Macaca mulatta: one gene and its partners. The protein of the gene in region 2 purifies or fractionates together with the protein of the main gene of each other region. This does not show direct contact. Links are inferred from orthologs where the notes say so. Each region holds a gene or a part of one and is shown on either strand. Other genes may lie near its edges.

Evidence for each region. Proteins that work in one complex are often made in the same cells at the same time.
Region 1: the proteins of PLK1 (region 2) and C1H1orf226 purify together in Homo sapiens (affinity purification with mass spectrometry; 3 studies listed by BioGRID and IntAct, counting the BioPlex papers as one, with this or other methods). This does not show direct contact. The link is inferred for Macaca mulatta from reciprocal best matches to the Homo sapiens genes PLK1 and C1orf226.
Region 3: the proteins of PLK1 (region 2) and TMF1 purify together in Homo sapiens (affinity purification with mass spectrometry; 5 studies listed by BioGRID and IntAct, counting the BioPlex papers as one, with this or other methods). This does not show direct contact. The link is inferred for Macaca mulatta from reciprocal best matches to the Homo sapiens genes PLK1 and TMF1.
Region 4: the proteins of PLK1 (region 2) and PPP6R3 purify together in Homo sapiens (affinity purification with mass spectrometry; 3 studies listed by BioGRID and IntAct, with this or other methods). This does not show direct contact. The link is inferred for Macaca mulatta from reciprocal best matches to the Homo sapiens genes PLK1 and PPP6R3.

What each region holds. Positions count from the first base shown.
Region 1 is NC_133406.1:104,534,618-104,538,845, forward strand, and holds the start of C1H1orf226 (uncharacterized protein C1orf226 homolog), read right to left. Parts: upstream 2,801-4,228; 5' UTR 2,578-2,800; exon of another isoform or gene 1-2,577. Other genes in the region: NOS1AP (carboxyl-terminal PDZ ligand of neuronal nitric oxide synthase protein), read right to left, coding at 3,006-3,421.
Region 2 is NC_133425.1:23,225,285-23,228,784, forward strand, and holds part of PLK1 (serine/threonine-protein kinase PLK1), read left to right. Parts: intron 1-636; coding exon 637-730; intron 731-2,468; coding exon 2,469-2,688; intron 2,689-3,500. UniProt on the Homo sapiens protein: Serine/threonine-protein kinase that performs several important functions throughout M phase of the cell cycle, including the regulation of centrosome maturation and spindle assembly, the removal of cohesins from chromosome arms, the inactivation of anaphase-promoting complex/cyclosome (APC/C) inhibitors, and the regulation of mitotic exit and cytokinesis.
Region 3 is NC_133407.1:132,607,672-132,611,815, forward strand, and holds the start of TMF1 (TATA element modulatory factor), read right to left. Parts: upstream 2,801-4,144; 5' UTR 2,600-2,800; coding exon 2,458-2,599; exon of another isoform or gene 2,085-2,457; intron 1-2,084. UniProt on the Homo sapiens protein: Potential coactivator of the androgen receptor. Mediates STAT3 degradation. May play critical roles in two RAB6-dependent retrograde transport processes: one from endosomes to the Golgi and the other from the Golgi to the ER.
Region 4 is NC_133419.1:6,159,125-6,163,103, reverse strand, and holds the start of PPP6R3 (serine/threonine-protein phosphatase 6 regulatory subunit 3), read left to right. Parts: upstream 1-1,179; 5' UTR 1,180-1,255; intron 1,256-2,061; 5' UTR 2,062-2,135; intron 2,136-3,979.

The DNA of each region.
Region 1 (4,228 bases), on a different chromosome or scaffold from region 2:
GAAATAAGAAAGATTTATTTAGCAAAAGCCACTAGACTAGTGACAACATCCAGGGAGTAAGTGCACTTACATTAACAGAATCTTTTCCCAGAGAGTTGATCCAACAGAGTTAATGACACACAGCTTTAGGAAGTAGAGGGCTAGCAGGTAGAGGGTTAGGAGGAAGCAGTCAAGCAAAGAGTAAATAAAAGGAATACAACTCCTAAACAAGATCCATTGAGAGAAATGAGGCTAGGAAGAGGTTTTACAGAGAGAGCATTGATATAAGCAGGAATATAAGGAATATAATTTTTAATCCCAATATACAGTCCATCCAGTGTGGAGAAATTCTTTCCTGGCTCCATAACTGTGGGAGACTCCTGTGCACGAGAGCCTGCTGGCACCTGGGGCAGGCTGGGGCAGGCACCAATAAGGTCAGCACCCCTGGTGTCCATTTGTCCTCCATATAGGGCAAAGTAGAAGAATGAAAAAGAGGAAGGCAGAGTTGAGTTAGCAGAGCAAGAAGCAAGGAGGGAGGACAGGGTGACATCGTTGGGAAATCAGGTCTGCAATGTTCCCTTTCCTGCCCAGTTGGCCCTGATGGAGGGTTGGTGGCTGGTGATCCTTCAAGGCTCCTAGATCTGTCCTTTGTCTCCCATCTCCACACACCAAGTGTGCACTGGTTTGGGTCCCACTAGGGAGGATGCCAATATACAAACTAGTCCTTCAGGGAGGGCCTGAACTGGGGAAAGGGTGGGGCCCAGGCAGGAAGAAACCACCATGGAACACCCCAAGGGCAAGAGTCTTGGATGGGTCCCAAAGTCAGCAACACAGATAACTAGTTTCCCCAATTCTTTAATCTCTCCATTTCCTTTTGTCTATCCAATCTTAAGTTTTTACAGACCATTTAGAAATGGCCTTCCTCACTCGCTCCCTGGCCACATCCCACACAAGCCCTCTCCATCCACATTCCACACACCTAATCCACTGGCCTCTGGCTTTATCCTCAGCTCCTGCTTACGTCCAGAAAACAGACTTTTCACTCCTCTGAACATTCAAAATCTTAATAATCGAAGCGGTCTTGGACTCAAGGAACCCTGGGTTAGATTTAACAAGCTAGGTAGGCTCAGTCACACTGGATTCCTGACAGCTGCTCATTTAGTTTCATGGATTTCACTTTTCTAGTTCTTCCTTCTCTGTGTACCTGTACCTATTTCCAATGGCAAATTAGATCAAAACAAAACAAACAGAACCATGCCTCTCCAACTAAATGCATGTTAGAAAACACAAATCTGTTGCTGATTCAAACACCCTGGAGATTCCCACTCTTTTCTGTCTGGTCACAATCCTACATATAGGTACACACCTTCCCTCACACATGTATATATAAACACATGTGTACACACACACACAAAACACACACACACCCCACCCCATCCTATTTCCACTGACACCCTGATGCACCAAGGAAGGCTAACATAAAACTGAATTTATTTCCTTTCATTTGGACTTTCTGGGCTAAATCAACTGTGGCCATTAGAAGAGGACTGCACTTTTATTTATATACATTCTAAAGCAAAGCTAGGATCGATGAACTCCATTTTGGGACAATCATATCCTTGCCGATTGACCCTCCAAAAATACTGCAGTTTGCATCTGTAGCTTGTTGTCTAGGATAAAGACTTAATTCCCCAAACATATGACTCTAGCAGGTCTCAGCAATCTCTTCAGTCATTTGAAAATCTGTTAACAGCCACTTACGGCCTTACAGGAGCAAAGGAGCTTTCCCTCATTGCCCCAGTCAGCCCATTAAGGAGTGGTGATCCCTAGGCAAAGCCTAGATCATAAAAGATAAGACAATTGCACATGGCACTTTTTACAGGTGTGCTCAAGGCACGCACCCAGAGAGATGGGCCAAGGGTGGCAATGGCTGCAGTCCCTGACCCAAGTGGCAGTGATTCAGAAAAGTGGACAAAAACAGTCTCACAGTCTCAGCTATCAGCCTGCATTCACTTTTTTTTTTCTTTCTCTTTTTTCTTTTCTTTTCTTTTTTTTGCAGTAAAAACTGACCACCACTACCCAGTGGAGGGGACAGGTTGAGAGGTAAGGCTGGGGACTCTGGTCCTCTGGGGCTTTCAGAGAGGTAAAGTGCTGCAAAAGCTTTAGCTGGACAGGACACAGGGGAGGTGAAGGGCACTTCCCAGCTTCCATTTAGATGGGCTGGGCTACAAGCAGGAGGTGGGCAGGGCAGGGCTTTCAAAACAAGAATCAGATCTAAGTGACCTGGAGCAGCAAACAAGCTGTCCTCCCCCTGGGCTCTCACACCAAGGGCCTGAACCATGTTAAAGCTTCAAGGCTCCTTTTGAAGCAACATTCAATGTCCGGCTGGAGAAAACGTTTGGATTCAGTTCCTCTAAAAGATTATCCACTGTGACACATTCCAATTCCATGCTCACACTACAAGGACTAGCCTGGCTTTTATAGCCCAGATCACTCAATCTCCACAATCTCAGCAAGGGCCTGGAGAAGGAATTCCTCTCATAAAGGTAGGGGGAGGGTTAGGCAACTCAGAGCATCCTGATATCCGAAACAAAGTACCTGAGAAGGTACGGATGGCTTCCCTTCATGGTCGGGACCATGGAGATGGGGAGAGTGAGGGGGTACGGGGGCATCACGGACAAAGCGTGGGAGCCTGACGATGCAGCAGGTAGGAGCAGGTCCTCCAGCAGCCTGGCAGTCCTGGAGAGAGACCCTTTCCTGAAGCCATGGGCTCTGCAAGGCCCTACCTCCATCACCCTCTAGTCACAAGTAGGAGAGGAGCTGATTCACCTCTGGGAATCCGATTTCTTCCCCCACTTTACCCTCCAAAGCAGAATCTCAATCCTTTCCTGAAACCTCACACTCTCCCGGGCCCCGGCTGGCATTTTCCTCGGCAGCGCGCATTCACTGGGCATCCCCTACCCGGGCAGCAGCCAGACACGGCCCCTCCAGCCACGCCGCCGCCTCCATCTCCTCGCCCTCGGCACCTACACGGCGATCTCATCATCCAGGCCGTCGCCCAGCTCCTGCCTCTGCAGGACATTCAGCAGGCGCGGCAGCTCCTCCTGGGACCACGAGTCGCGCTCCTCGCTCTCGTCCGTGTTGGACTCGTACTCCGAGGCGATGCCTGACTCTCGGAACTTGATGAGCTCCAGACCGCCCAGGAGCGCCTCGCCCTGTGCTGGGGGCGGGGTGTCCTCGGGCGGGAGAAAGCGAAAGCACTCCAGCTTCACCAAGCAGTCGCGCCTACCTAAGGGGCTGCCCGCAGGGTGGGCAAAGTCAGCCAAGCCCGCGCCCAGCGGCGGCGAATGCAGGTCCTCCGGCTTAGGGGTCGTGGGGTCACAGAGCACGGGCAGGGCTCCAGAGCGGAAGGTGATCTCCAGCAAGCTGTCCTGGGAGCCCACTGCAGGGGAGACAAGAGGTAGCAGAGGGGCAGCGTTAGGCAAGGTTGCTGATTTGGGATGCCCGCCTTCTGATTTGGGATGCCTGCCTTCTGTCCGCCGGTGCCCTGCAAAAGCCCTTCCCAGACCAGCTTAGCAGCACCTTCCCGGGCTTTGGATCTCTTAACTCTTCACCCCTTCCTGGCGCCCCCACATAGCTCCAGACACACCTCGCTGGAGGGGAGGAGCTTTGGGAGGTGGTAAAGGCGGGGACATGAGAACCATATGATGGTTCTGGAAGCCACTAAAGGCTCTGAATAGTGTTAGTGGTAGGAAAAAGGTACCAATTGAGAGAACCATGTTAGAAGCCTGTGGTAACCTTCAGTACAATCATATAAATAAGCATTAATTAGGATAGAGCAGAGTTTCAATGAATAATCTGGAAAATCCAGAGAGGCTTCCAGAGTGGTGAAGGTTTCCAATCCATACCTCTGGGTTACTTTAAAAATACAGGCTCCCAGACCAGCCCCAGACCCAATGATGCAGGATCTCTGTAGGTTGGACCCAGTAAGATGTATTTTTAAAAGAGCTCACGGGATAGTTTGGGGGAACCACTGGTATAGTTGGAACAAAGTTTTGCAATCAGATCTAGGTTTGAATCTTGACTCTGCTCCTTGCTAGGCCTGTAACCTTGAGCTAATTACTTAACCTCCCTGAATCTGTTACCTCATCTGTAAAATGGCATCCCATTTTTCTGCAGCCGAACTACAGGGATTAAATGATCTCACATGCAAAAAATTCTATCACAGTTTCTGGCACAATGTGTGGTC
Region 2 (3,500 bases):
CCCTTGGTAGTTCCCGTGCACAATAAGGTCTTAAACATTGATGAACATTAGCATGGTGGGGGAAATTAGGCCAGGAGTTACAGATGGAAGGATGACGTGCCAGTGGTCTGTCTGGATTGAGACCATCAGCAGCGGTTGGTGGCAGGCAGAGGCTTGGGCCTTTTCAGGTATTACCTTTCTTGTTTGGGGCCTAGGTACTGGAGAGTTAGAAATGAGTTGTAGCAGTGACTTTCATACATCTTCGCAGTGGGGTTTTTCCAAATGAAAACTTGAAGACTTAAGTACAGAATTGCTAAAGGTAGAGCTGCTTCTGTAAGTGCAGGTAGCCCTTTGACCTGTTTTGCATGACAGGCAGCCTCTGAGGCCCTTGCAGAGTCCTAGATGACCACAGGCCACAACTAAAAAATCACTGGCCCCTAAGAATCCTAGTCTCACCACGTGTATTCTGGTAAGGGCTCATTCTAGCCAATATTATGGCTCCTGGGGCTGCTCAGTGGACTTGGTTGTCTTCAGGGGCCCCAGAGTTACAGTGAGTGTCCAGAGGATGCCTGGTCTTTGTTCTGACCCTGAGATGATTTCTCTTATGTCTGGGTTGTGGCTGGGAGGCTGGTGCCAAATCCTACCTTGTGCTTACAGGTATACCTTGTTAGTGGGCAAACCACCTTTTGAGACTTCTTGCCTAAAAGAGACCTACCTCCGGATCAAGAAGAATGAATACAGTATTCCCAAGGTGACTAATGATGCTTTAACTTTACATTTATTTTGTTTTCCCCAAAAGCTGTTTATGGAACCCAGCAATATCCTAAGACCAGAAATAGGTCTATCCCACCTCTAGGATAGCCACAGAGCTTACGAGGGCCTGTGTCTGAAATTACATACAGAACTTGACATGTATGTGCACATAAGCATTTTTTCTAGGGGGAGAGAGTTGGCAGATTCTCAAGAGATTGGGTAGCCCAAAAGTTGCGTAAAAAGCAAAAAACAAAGGAGGTAGGAAGGAGTAGGAGGCTAAAGTGCTTAAGCTTTGGAAATGGATTATCTTAATTCAAATTGAGTCTGCCACTTAGCCAGATCACATTGGGCAAATGGCCTGCATCTTCTTTTTTTCTTTTTTTTCTTTTTTTTTTTTTTGAGGTGGAGTTTTACTCTTGTTCCCCAGTGCAGTGGCATGATCTCGACTCTCGACTCACTGCAACCTCCACCTCCCAGGTTCAAGCGATTCTCCTGCCTCAACCTCCCAAGTAACTGGGATTACAGGTACCCACCACCTTGCCTGGCTTTTTTTTTTTTTTTTTTTTTTTTTTTTGTATTTTTAGTAGAGATGGGGTTTCACCACGTTGGCCAGGATGGTCTCGAACTCCTGACCTCAGGTGATCCACCCGCCTCAGCCTCCCAGAGTGCTGGGATTACAGGCATGAGCCACCATGCCCAGCCTGGCCTGCATCTTCTGAACCATAGTTCTCGTCTATAAAGTGGAGTTCCTGCCTTGGAGCACCTCACAGAGTGCCTTACATGTAGTAAGTGCTCACAGAATTATGAATCACTGAATCCCAGGGCTTCCTAATGGCATAGTGGTGTGCAATTTCCTTTTTTTTTTTTTTTTTTTTTGAGACAGAGTCTCACTGTATCGCCCAAGCTGGAATGCAGTGATGCGATCTCGGCTCACTGCAAGTTCCCCCTCCTGGGTTCACACCATTCTCCCGCCTCAGCCTCCTGAGTAGCTGGGACTACAGGTGCCCGCCACCACACCCGGCTACTTTTTTTGTATTTTTAGTAGAAAGAGAGTTTCACTGTGTTAGCCAAGATGGTCTCAATCTCCTGACCCTGTGATCTGCCCGCCTCAGCCTCCCTAAGTGCTAGGATTACAGGCGTGAGCCACCACACCTGGCCATGGTGTGTATTTTCACAACCACCAACAGAAATGCATTTAAAGGAATAGCTGGTTCCTGCAGAAGCCTAGCACACAGCCAGTTTGAAGTGTAGTGTCCTTGTGTGAAGCCAAGAGGCCTGTCACCATAAGGACGGACATAGTAAATCCATCACAAAGTGTCAGTTCACTGTCAGAGACAGCATGGAATCAAGCCAACTAGACAAGGCCTTCACCCTCTCTGTGCCTCACTTTCCTCCTCTGCAAAAAAGGGATGATAATAGAGCCCCACCCCTTAGATGTATTAGTGAGGGCTAAGTGAGCTAAGTACAGGAGTGCTTAGAATGCTTTCCTGGCACATAGTAAGTGCCAGGAAAGTGAGTTGGTGCTAGGCCACAGTCCATTGACCCTTCTGTCAAAGGTGCTCAGTAAAGCCGACAGTGGAGAAGTTGGCATTGAACCAAGTTGTGAACCACTAACCTGGGGTGTATTTGAGACTGGGGACTGCGTGTGGTCTATTGGCCTGCAGCCCCTTTGAGGCCGTACTGTACTCCGGGTCCCCTTCACATTCTGCTTATGGCTGTCCCTCTCTCTGCCCTAGCACATCAACCCCGTGGCCGCCTCCCTCATCCAGAAGATGCTTCAGACAGATCCCACTGCCCGCCCAACCATTAATGAGCTGCTTAACGACGAGTTCTTTACTTCTGGCTATATCCCTGCCCGTCTCCCCATCACCTGCCTGACCATTCCACCGAGGTTTTCAATTGCTCCCAGCAGCCTGGACCCCAGCAACCGGAAGCCCCTCACAGTCCTCAATAAAGGTACAACAAGGGTCTGGGTAAGAGAGCAGACTCCCCAGAGAAAGCCCAGGTTGTAGGGGTGTGTGTGGCTTAGTCCCTGGCCCCAAGAGCTCAGGTTTGGTTTAGGACAGACCTCTGTCCTTAAATTCGTGATTCCCATGCCCATCTGCTCCTCGGCCTTGCCGGGAAAGACTGACCTTACCATGGCTGGATAAACCTGCTATGCTCAAGAAGAAGAAAATGGACTGAATACCAAGCCTAAAAAATTCTTTCCAATCACTTTAATTAATTAATTTAATTTTTTGGAGACAGGGTCTCTCCTCTATTTTCCAGGTTGGAGTGTAGAGGCACAATCACAGCTCACTGCAGCTTTCAACTCTAGGGTTCAATCAATCCTCCCATCTCAGCCTCCCAAGTAGTTGGGACTGTCAGGCATGAGCCACCATGCCTGGCTAATTTTTTTTTGTTTTTGTAGAGACAGTGTTTTGCCATGTTGCCTAGGCTGGTCTTGGAACTCCTGGGCTCAAGTGATCCTCCCACCTCCACCTCCCAAAGTGTTGGGATTACAGGCATGAGCTGCTACGCCTGGCCTTCTAACACTTTTTCATGATTCATTGAAAAACATAAAAATTTCCTTTTTTTTTTTTTTTTGAGACAGGTCTGGCTGTCTCCTAGGCTGGAGTGGAGTGGTGTGATCTTGGCTCACTGCAACTTCTGCCTCCCAGGCTCAAGTCATCCTCTCATCTCAGCTGAGACTACAGGCGTGTGCTGCCATGCCTGGCTAATTTTTTGTATTTTTTGTAGAGACAGATTCTCACTTTGTTGCCCAGGCT
Region 3 (4,144 bases), on a different chromosome or scaffold from region 2:
ATTCATTTTCATCCACTTAATCACAGGCTGATTTTCTAAATTCCACTCTCCAAGCCCACTCTAAGAGGAGGTTTTGTTCTCAAATTCTAAATTATGTCAGAAATTACAATGTCATTATGAATTTCAGAAATGTGTTCTTAAGAACTATTGCTCTTTGACATAGATCTAGGTAGTTGACACTAGGGTTTTTAAAAAAATACTGCAAAGAAAATGACTATTTTCTTGGGGAAAAAGGTAATTATCATATCAGTCATACAAATAGCTACTATTAAAATCCTGATTTTTAAAAATGGCATAATCAGGATCTTAAAAATGGTATATTTGTTAAAATATTTAAAGCATTTCTTTAAAAATGTTTTCTTTTCCAAATTAAAATGTGGCTGAACAAAATATTCACAATTAGAAGTTGGTGGAGAGAGCACAAGTAACTAAAAGCTTCTCAAAACTATCAAGCCTTACAGTAGAATCTATCCTTTAATATGACTTCAGGCCAGGCGCAGTGGCTCACGCTTGTAATCTCAGCACTTTGGGAGGCTGAGGCGGGCGGGCCACCTGAGGTCAGGAGTTGAAGACCAACCTGGTCCACATGGTAAAACTCTGTCTCTACTAAAATTACAAAAATTAGCCAGGTGTGGTGGCGCAAACCTGTAATCCCAGCTACTCAGGAGGCTGAGGCAGGAGAATCACTTGAGCCCAGGAGACAGAGTCTGCAGTGAACAGAGATGACACCACTGCACTCCAGCCTGGATGACAGAGCCAGACTCTGTCTCAAGGAAAAAACCAAATATATATATGTAAATATATATATGACTTCAAAACCAAATATATATATGTAAATATATATATGACTTCAGTTAGGATGAAAAGTAAGTAGAAAACTTCAGTTTGGAGGCATAGTTCTACACATCCATTTGCATAATATATCCAAACCAGAGAAAATCAAAATTAAAGATGCAAATGAACAACCAAGATTATGTCTGATTAATTTAAACACATTCAAAGGATGACAGGAATTAATGTTGCCTCTTGGAGAATACTTTATATAATCCCAGGGTTATCTGGCATCTATCAAAATTATACCATTCTGAAGACTGTGGTCATTTTCAGAAAACAAATATCCTTACATATAAAACCTATATTCTTTCTTGTCTAAAGTTTAGTAATTCTAATTAACTGGGGCACATATGAAAAAAAACAGTTACTCCAGCAAGGTTATATGGCATCCTGAGGATCATGACATACACACATGGACTAAAATGCCTTAAAATGAGGTACCTCAAATTTAGGTCCTGACTTTTCACTGATGTAAAATTAAGAACAGAAACCAGAAAGGAGTAGTCAAGCACATCTCTTATCCTTTTTCACACAAAGGTTCACATCCCCCACACCTGCAAATCTTTACCCCACACATCAAATGCTAAACTGCTCCTTAGACTTAAGAGTCAAAAGCAACTGAATGAAGATCCCTGAAAGATTAAGCTCAATGAAACTGCAAGAGAGATTTGGCTATTCAGAAATAAAATGTGATACAATCCAAAAATCTTGGATCACACATTCCTTGGGTAATACCTCCAGCACATTCTAATCCTCATCCTCCGTGTGACCTAGAGCAAGTTACTTGGCCATTCTGGGCCTCATTTTCCTCTTATGTAAAACACAGATATAAACTAAGCTCACTCTGGGAGTCGTTCTGAAGATGAGAAGGCCATAAAAAAGCACATTACAGGTTTACGCCTGTAATACCAGCACTTTGGAAGGCCGAGGCGGGGGATCGCCTTAAGTCAGGAGTTCGACCAGCCTGGCCAACATAGTGAAACCCCGTGCCTACTAAAAATACAAAAATTAGCCGGGCATGGTGGTGGGAGCCTGTAATCCCAGCTACTAGGGAGGCTGAGGCAGGAGAATCGCTGGTACCTGGGAGGCGGAGGTTGCAGTGAACCGAGATCGCGCCACTGCACTCCAGCCTGGGCGACAGAGTGAGACTCCGTCTCAACAACAACATAAAACCACATTACGCGCTACCAAGCGTGAAATGTTCACGGAATGTTAGCGATTGTTCTTCCCTTCCCTGATGATTTACGTACTTCAGATCTTGGATCCCAACAGTGCAGGAGACGCGAGGCAATTTGAGGTTCAGGTTCGGAAAGGTTGTGCTTGGAAGTTGCGTCGAGGGAGGGCTTGAGGGCAAGACCAATCAACCAAGTCCCCTGTCATCGAAGTCCACAAGCCTCGCACCCACGACCAAAGACAAGGGGGAACCTGGGGCTGGGTTTTCCCTCAGGAAAACGGCAAAGACCGACTTGGAGGCTGAAGCAGCATTAGGGAATGGGCCGGGGAGAAATTACTTCCAGAGAACTCTCTCAGCAAGGAAGGACCCCTCTCTACACCACTTAACCTGTCTGCATCAGGAGAACAGCAGCCTCCGAGAGCCGGGAACCCCGCTCCTCTCTCTCTTACCCGGCTCTCCATACGGAATGGTCTCGGCCCAGATGCTCGGCTCCTCTTCCTGGATGTCCAGAACCCTGTCGATGGACTTCTGGGCCTGGGACAGGGCCTGCTTAGCGAAGCTGGAGAGCTGGGAGGCGTTGAACCAACTCATCGCCCCTCCTCAGCCGGCAGTAGCGGCGGCAGCACCAAGCGGGAAGGTCTCAGGCCTGCGGAAGGGTGCAGAGGAACGGCTTGGCTCCCTTTTCCACTCGGCTAGTTCTGTCAGCGTGTGGCCATGACCCCGAGAGCCTCCCGAGCGCGCGGGATGTTACCCTCTGCCGTTCCCGCACAGCTGAGATGAAGGGGTCCGTGTGCGCATGCGCCTGCTTCTTCCACGTACACAGCAAACAAACCTGGCAGCCTAGAGTCCGGTCGACAGACGGAAGAACAGAAGACAAGAACGTTGACGTCACATCCGGGAGCGCTGGGTTGCCCTTAGTTACCGAGGAACGCGGAAGGGTTTCTATTGATAGCGATTCCGTGCTTACAGCAGTTCTTAGCGAAGGGGGAGCTATGGCTACCAATAGAGGTCGATTTCCCCGGAAGGAATACTCCAGTTTTCATGTGTGTGCTTTCCAGGAAAACAGTTCACGTGCTAAAAGCTTGCACCTTGCCAGCAATAATTACAAAGGGAAATTTGGGCCTCACATTTCTCTTGGCCCTTTGTCTCAAATATTTAATAAGCTCTGTATTAACTTGGTATTATAAGGAGAAACACTTGTTTGGGCTTGCCTAAAAGGCAGGATCACGTATGAACACTGTGTCCAACCCGTGGAACACATGATGCATAAAGCACAACCTCTCTCTCAAAACAGCAGCAAACTCATTGCTGCAGTCAAAATACCCCTAATACTGTGGTCTATCGCAAATTCCTATGTTGAAACCTAATCTCCAATGGGACAGTATTAAGGGGAGCCTTTAGGAGACGATTAGATGATAAGGATGGAGCCCTCATGAATGGGATTAGTGCCCTTATAAGAGAGGCCCAAGGGAGCTCACAGCAAGAAGGCACCAACTCTAAGCCAGAAGAGCAGCCCTCACCAGACACCAACTCTGCCAGCTCCTTATCTTGGACTTCTCAGCCTCTAGAACTGTTAAGAAATAAATTTTTGCTGCTTATAAGCCACCCAGTTTATGGGAATTTGTTACAACAGTCCAAATGGACTAAGACACCTAGGAAGCACTAAAGCTGTTATCCTTACAATGTGCACTGTGCATATTACTTAAAATATAACCTTTTCTGTGTGCATTCTCTTCAAACATTTGGACATGGAAAAATACCTTAAACTGGTGGCCTTCCTAATCCAGTCTGCAGCTATATTTGGTTTGAGCCCAAGTTAAAGACAAAATCCTATCAACATTTAAAAGCCAGACTTCATTCAAAAATCTAGATTTCCAGCTGCTTTTGAAAAATATGAATACCAAGCATGGGAATAGTCAGCTAGAGTGGTCACCAATAATTTTCACTCACTCCAGTTTGCCACAGACCTCTATCACTCATCTTATTACACCCTCCCTGCTGTGGTCATTTACCTTATATGCCTGCCTCCCATATTTGAATATTTTACCTCACTGCAAGGAACTCTGCAAAAAAGAATTATTTTTCTTTTAAAAAATCAGATTGAACCCCTTAAGAAGTTATAATCATCTTCCAATA
Region 4 (3,979 bases), on a different chromosome or scaffold from region 2:
TGGGAGGACCGCTTGAACCCAGGAGGTGGAGGCTGTAGCCAGTCATGATCATCCCACTGCACTCCAGCCCGGACAACAGAGCAAGACCTTGTCTCAAAAAAGACCCCAGGCCGGGTGCGGTGGCTCAGGCCTATAATCCCTGCACTTTGGGAGGCTGAGGTGGGCGGATCACCTGAGGTCAGGATTTGAGACCAGCCTGGCCAACATGGTGAAACACCCGTGTCTATTAAAAATACAAAAATTAGCCGGGCATGGTGGCGTGCGCTTGTAGTCCCAGCTACACGGGAGGCTGAGACAGGAGAATTGCTTGAACCTGGGAAGCGGAGGTTGCAGTGAGCTGAGGTCACGCCACTGCACTCCAGCCTGGGCGACAACAGGAAAACTCCGTCTCAAACAAAACCAAATCCCAAAATTTCTCGTCTAAATCCTTCCCCCACGACGAGGGGACTTATCTCTTAGCGGTGGGTTATAGGTAGGAATATTCCGCGATCCCTCACTTTGACATCGCTTCGAGGACAGCCACCTCTTTCGGGTAAAGAAGCCGCAATAGGAAATCCCTCTGATAAAAATTCTGCTGTGGGGAAGGCGGGCATCGATCCCACTACCTCTCACACGCCAAACAAACACTGCACCACTTATGCTGAATTCCTAGCTCAGCCCAACTGCTGCAGCCGGCGCATATTATGGCTCACGTCATCACCGGTGTCCCCTGCCACCCCCGCCCCGCCCGGCCAGCTCGCCACCCCATTGGCTCCCTTGAGGCTCCGGCTTCACGGCCATGATTGGTTTGGCTCAATTTAGTTTTAAAAGCACTGGCCATTCGGATTGGTGGTCCGATACGTCCGTCAAGCGGAGGCCCTGCTGTTGCTACGGCGTAGGGGGACCCAGACAGGTCTCTCCCGGTTTCTGATTTGTTTCTCAGGCTCCGGGGTCCTAGAGGTTCCGGATCCGTCAAGTACATGGGAAAAGAATGCGCCCCTCGCGCTTGACTGACGAGGCTTGCGGGCCAATCGGAATGGAGTCAAGGGAGCCGCTAGGCGATCCAATAGGTGGTAGGGGCCGGGAGAGAGGGACCAATGAGCCTGGAGCTGGGGGAGGGGGCAGGGCCGCGATTGGCTGAGAGGCGGCCAGAGGGAGGGCGGGGGGAACTCAAGGCCTGCTTGATACGTCCGCCATTTTGGGCGCTTTGCTGATGGTGTCGGTGAGCGCGTTTCCCGCCTGAGCGCAACTAGCGGCGGGTCGTGGGCACCTCCAGGTAATGGGGGTGGGGGAGGCGCTGGAGCAGGCCGCGGCGCGGGGTGTGCGAGGCGCGCGGGCAGGCGCGGGGCCCCTCCACCTGGGCCTCGGCGGCTCAGGGAGGGAGCGTCCCGGCCCCTCTCCCCTCCCCCCCCGGAATTCGTCGCTCCGCGGGCCCGGGAGGCGCGGCGCCGAGTCCTTCCCGGCCGCTCCCAGCCCGCTCCTGTCAGCCGAGGGCCCCGCCGGGACGGGCGCCGGGAGCGGGACGCGGCCGGGGCGGCGAACTTTGCGCCGCGTTGACGTTCGCGGCCTTGCGCGGCGGGCGGGAGAGGCGCGCCCCTGACCCGGCTCTGGCTCCAGTCTTCCCGCCCGCCGGCGGCGGCCCGCAGCGTCGCCCACCGCCTGGCCCGCGCCCGGTCTCCGCTCCCGCCGGGCCTCCCGGCCAACTCCTCCCGGGGGCCTCGGGGAGCGCGTCAAGTTGAGGCAGCAGCTCGCCGTCAAGAGTCGCGAAGGCCATTGTTGGACTCTGCTCTCCGGGAAACAAGTTTTGTGGGTTTCTGTTAATTCGCCGCAGAGTCATCGGGATCCACACCAGCCAGTTCCGAGGCTCCCACTACCCTTCCCAGTGGCTTTTTAACTGCAGTGGTGGCTCTGATGTAGACTGTCTCGAATGCCTCCCTGGTGTATTTGAGCCGGGGGGGGGGGTGGTCCTTCTTGTGGCTTGAAGTCCCTCCCTCTTAAAGAAGCCCATTCACTATTAATTTGGAGGTGTTTCCTGTTGAGGTCCTGCTGGCTGTGATCACAATTTGGACTTCTTAATTATAGGTGAACGGGATGGGTCTTTGGATGTACCTCCGTGCCCTGACGTTTCAGCCGCGTGACTTAATGTCATTTTCCTGGTACTTAACGTTTTTTCTGTGGGACTTTGGGTGTGTTTTGCTTTTATGGGAGGGGGTCTTGACAGGCATTCCCTTTCATTCTCGCAGCACTTGTTGACGGGGTGGTAGCCTACTTTATTCATGGGAAGTTTACTTCGATTTTGTCCTCAAGGTCATGCATGTTGCAGATAGGTTTCAAGGGGAAACGGGACTCCAGGTTTCCAACCATCGAAATGTGCCTCAAGTAGCAAGTGTGTGAGACCCAGTTATGGTGGTGGTTGGATTTTCCTCACTGTGGAGTGGAGTCAGTGACCACTTTTTAGCTCTCTGACCTTGGGCAAGTTACCCAGCCTCTCTCTCTCTTATTTTTCTCTGTAGAATGGGAGTAATAATAAGCGTCCCAGCCATAAGTTTGTCAGGACTATTGCCCTAATACATGTAAAACAGCGAGAACCGTGCCTGGCACACAGAATCACCTCAGTGTCTGATTAGTGATTAGGCTACCTAATGGCTATTATTATTTAATTTAAATTTGATTTTTAAATGTTTAGGTACTATTGGGAAGTCAGATGAGCATTTAAGCCCTGACTCTTGGTGACTGTCTTTAGAAAGCTCTGTGTAAGAGTCAGTTGGGCTGAAAAAGTAAAACTAGAAGTTACCTTTTTTCAGTACAGGGGTTTTGAACATTCCTTAAGTTAGGTACATTTACCGGAGTAATTGATGAGTAGTAGCACCTCAGAATGTTTAAAGAGGTGGTTAAATGCAGAAAAACCCATCACAAGCTTAAGTCGGCCTTTATTCCTCATGTGCTTTTGGATACTAGTTTCTGGGTGACTGCCCCCCAAATCAGTAACTTCGTGTACTCTTCGTTGTTACTGAAGACTGTAAATGTACCGTGAATTGCAGTATTTTTCAGCAAAGGTAGTTTAGGAAATAGCTGTTGTCCTGGAGGGATACTTTGGAAGGTATTCTCCACTTCAGCATTTCTGGTCAAGGAGTGTAGAACATTGAACACAATGCCGTGTACTCAGTTAGAAATAAACTCACAGTTCTTTACCACTTGCCCGGTGCTCTCCTCCATGGTACTGGAAACCTTGCGTGCCTTTCCCCTGGTATTGCTGTGTTTACTTGGGACTTGCTTTGCTGTATTGGAGCTAAGTGTGTTTTGATGGATTCAGTCTTAAGTAGAGATGAGTATCTTGCTGGTGGAACTTCAGGACAGGAAGAAGATTGTTTTGGGTTTAGAAGTCTAGCTTTTGTGTAAAGTATAGCAAAGCAAAGCAAACAAGCAAAAACTTGCTAGTTTCAATGAACTAATTGGGAATTTGAGAATCAGACCATAGCTGAGCAGAAAATGAATAGAAGTAACATTGACAGGATGAGGTTGCCTAGGTTTTTTTTTTTTTTTTTTTGAGACGGAGTCTTGCTCTGTCACCCAGGCTGGAGTGCAGTGGCCGGATCTCAGCTCACTGCAAGCTCCGCCTCCTGGGTTCACGCCATTCTCCTGCCTCAGCCTCCTGAGTAGCTGGGACTACAGGCGCCCGCCACCTCGCCCGGCTAGTTTTTTTGTATTTTTTAGTAGAGACGGGGTTTCACCATGTTAGCCAGGATGGTCTCGATCTCCTGACCTCATGATCCGCCCGTCTCGGCCTCCCAAAGTGCTGGGATTACGGGCTTGAGCCACTGCGCCCGGCCTTGCCTAGGTTTTTAAGATAAGGCTTTGGCCGGGCACGGTGGCTCACACCTGTAATCCCAGCACTTCTGGGAGGCCGGCGGATCACTTAAGGTCAGGAGTTCCAGACCAGGCCAACATGTGAAACCTTGTCTCTACTAAAAATACAAGAGTAAGCCGGTCATGGTGGCGT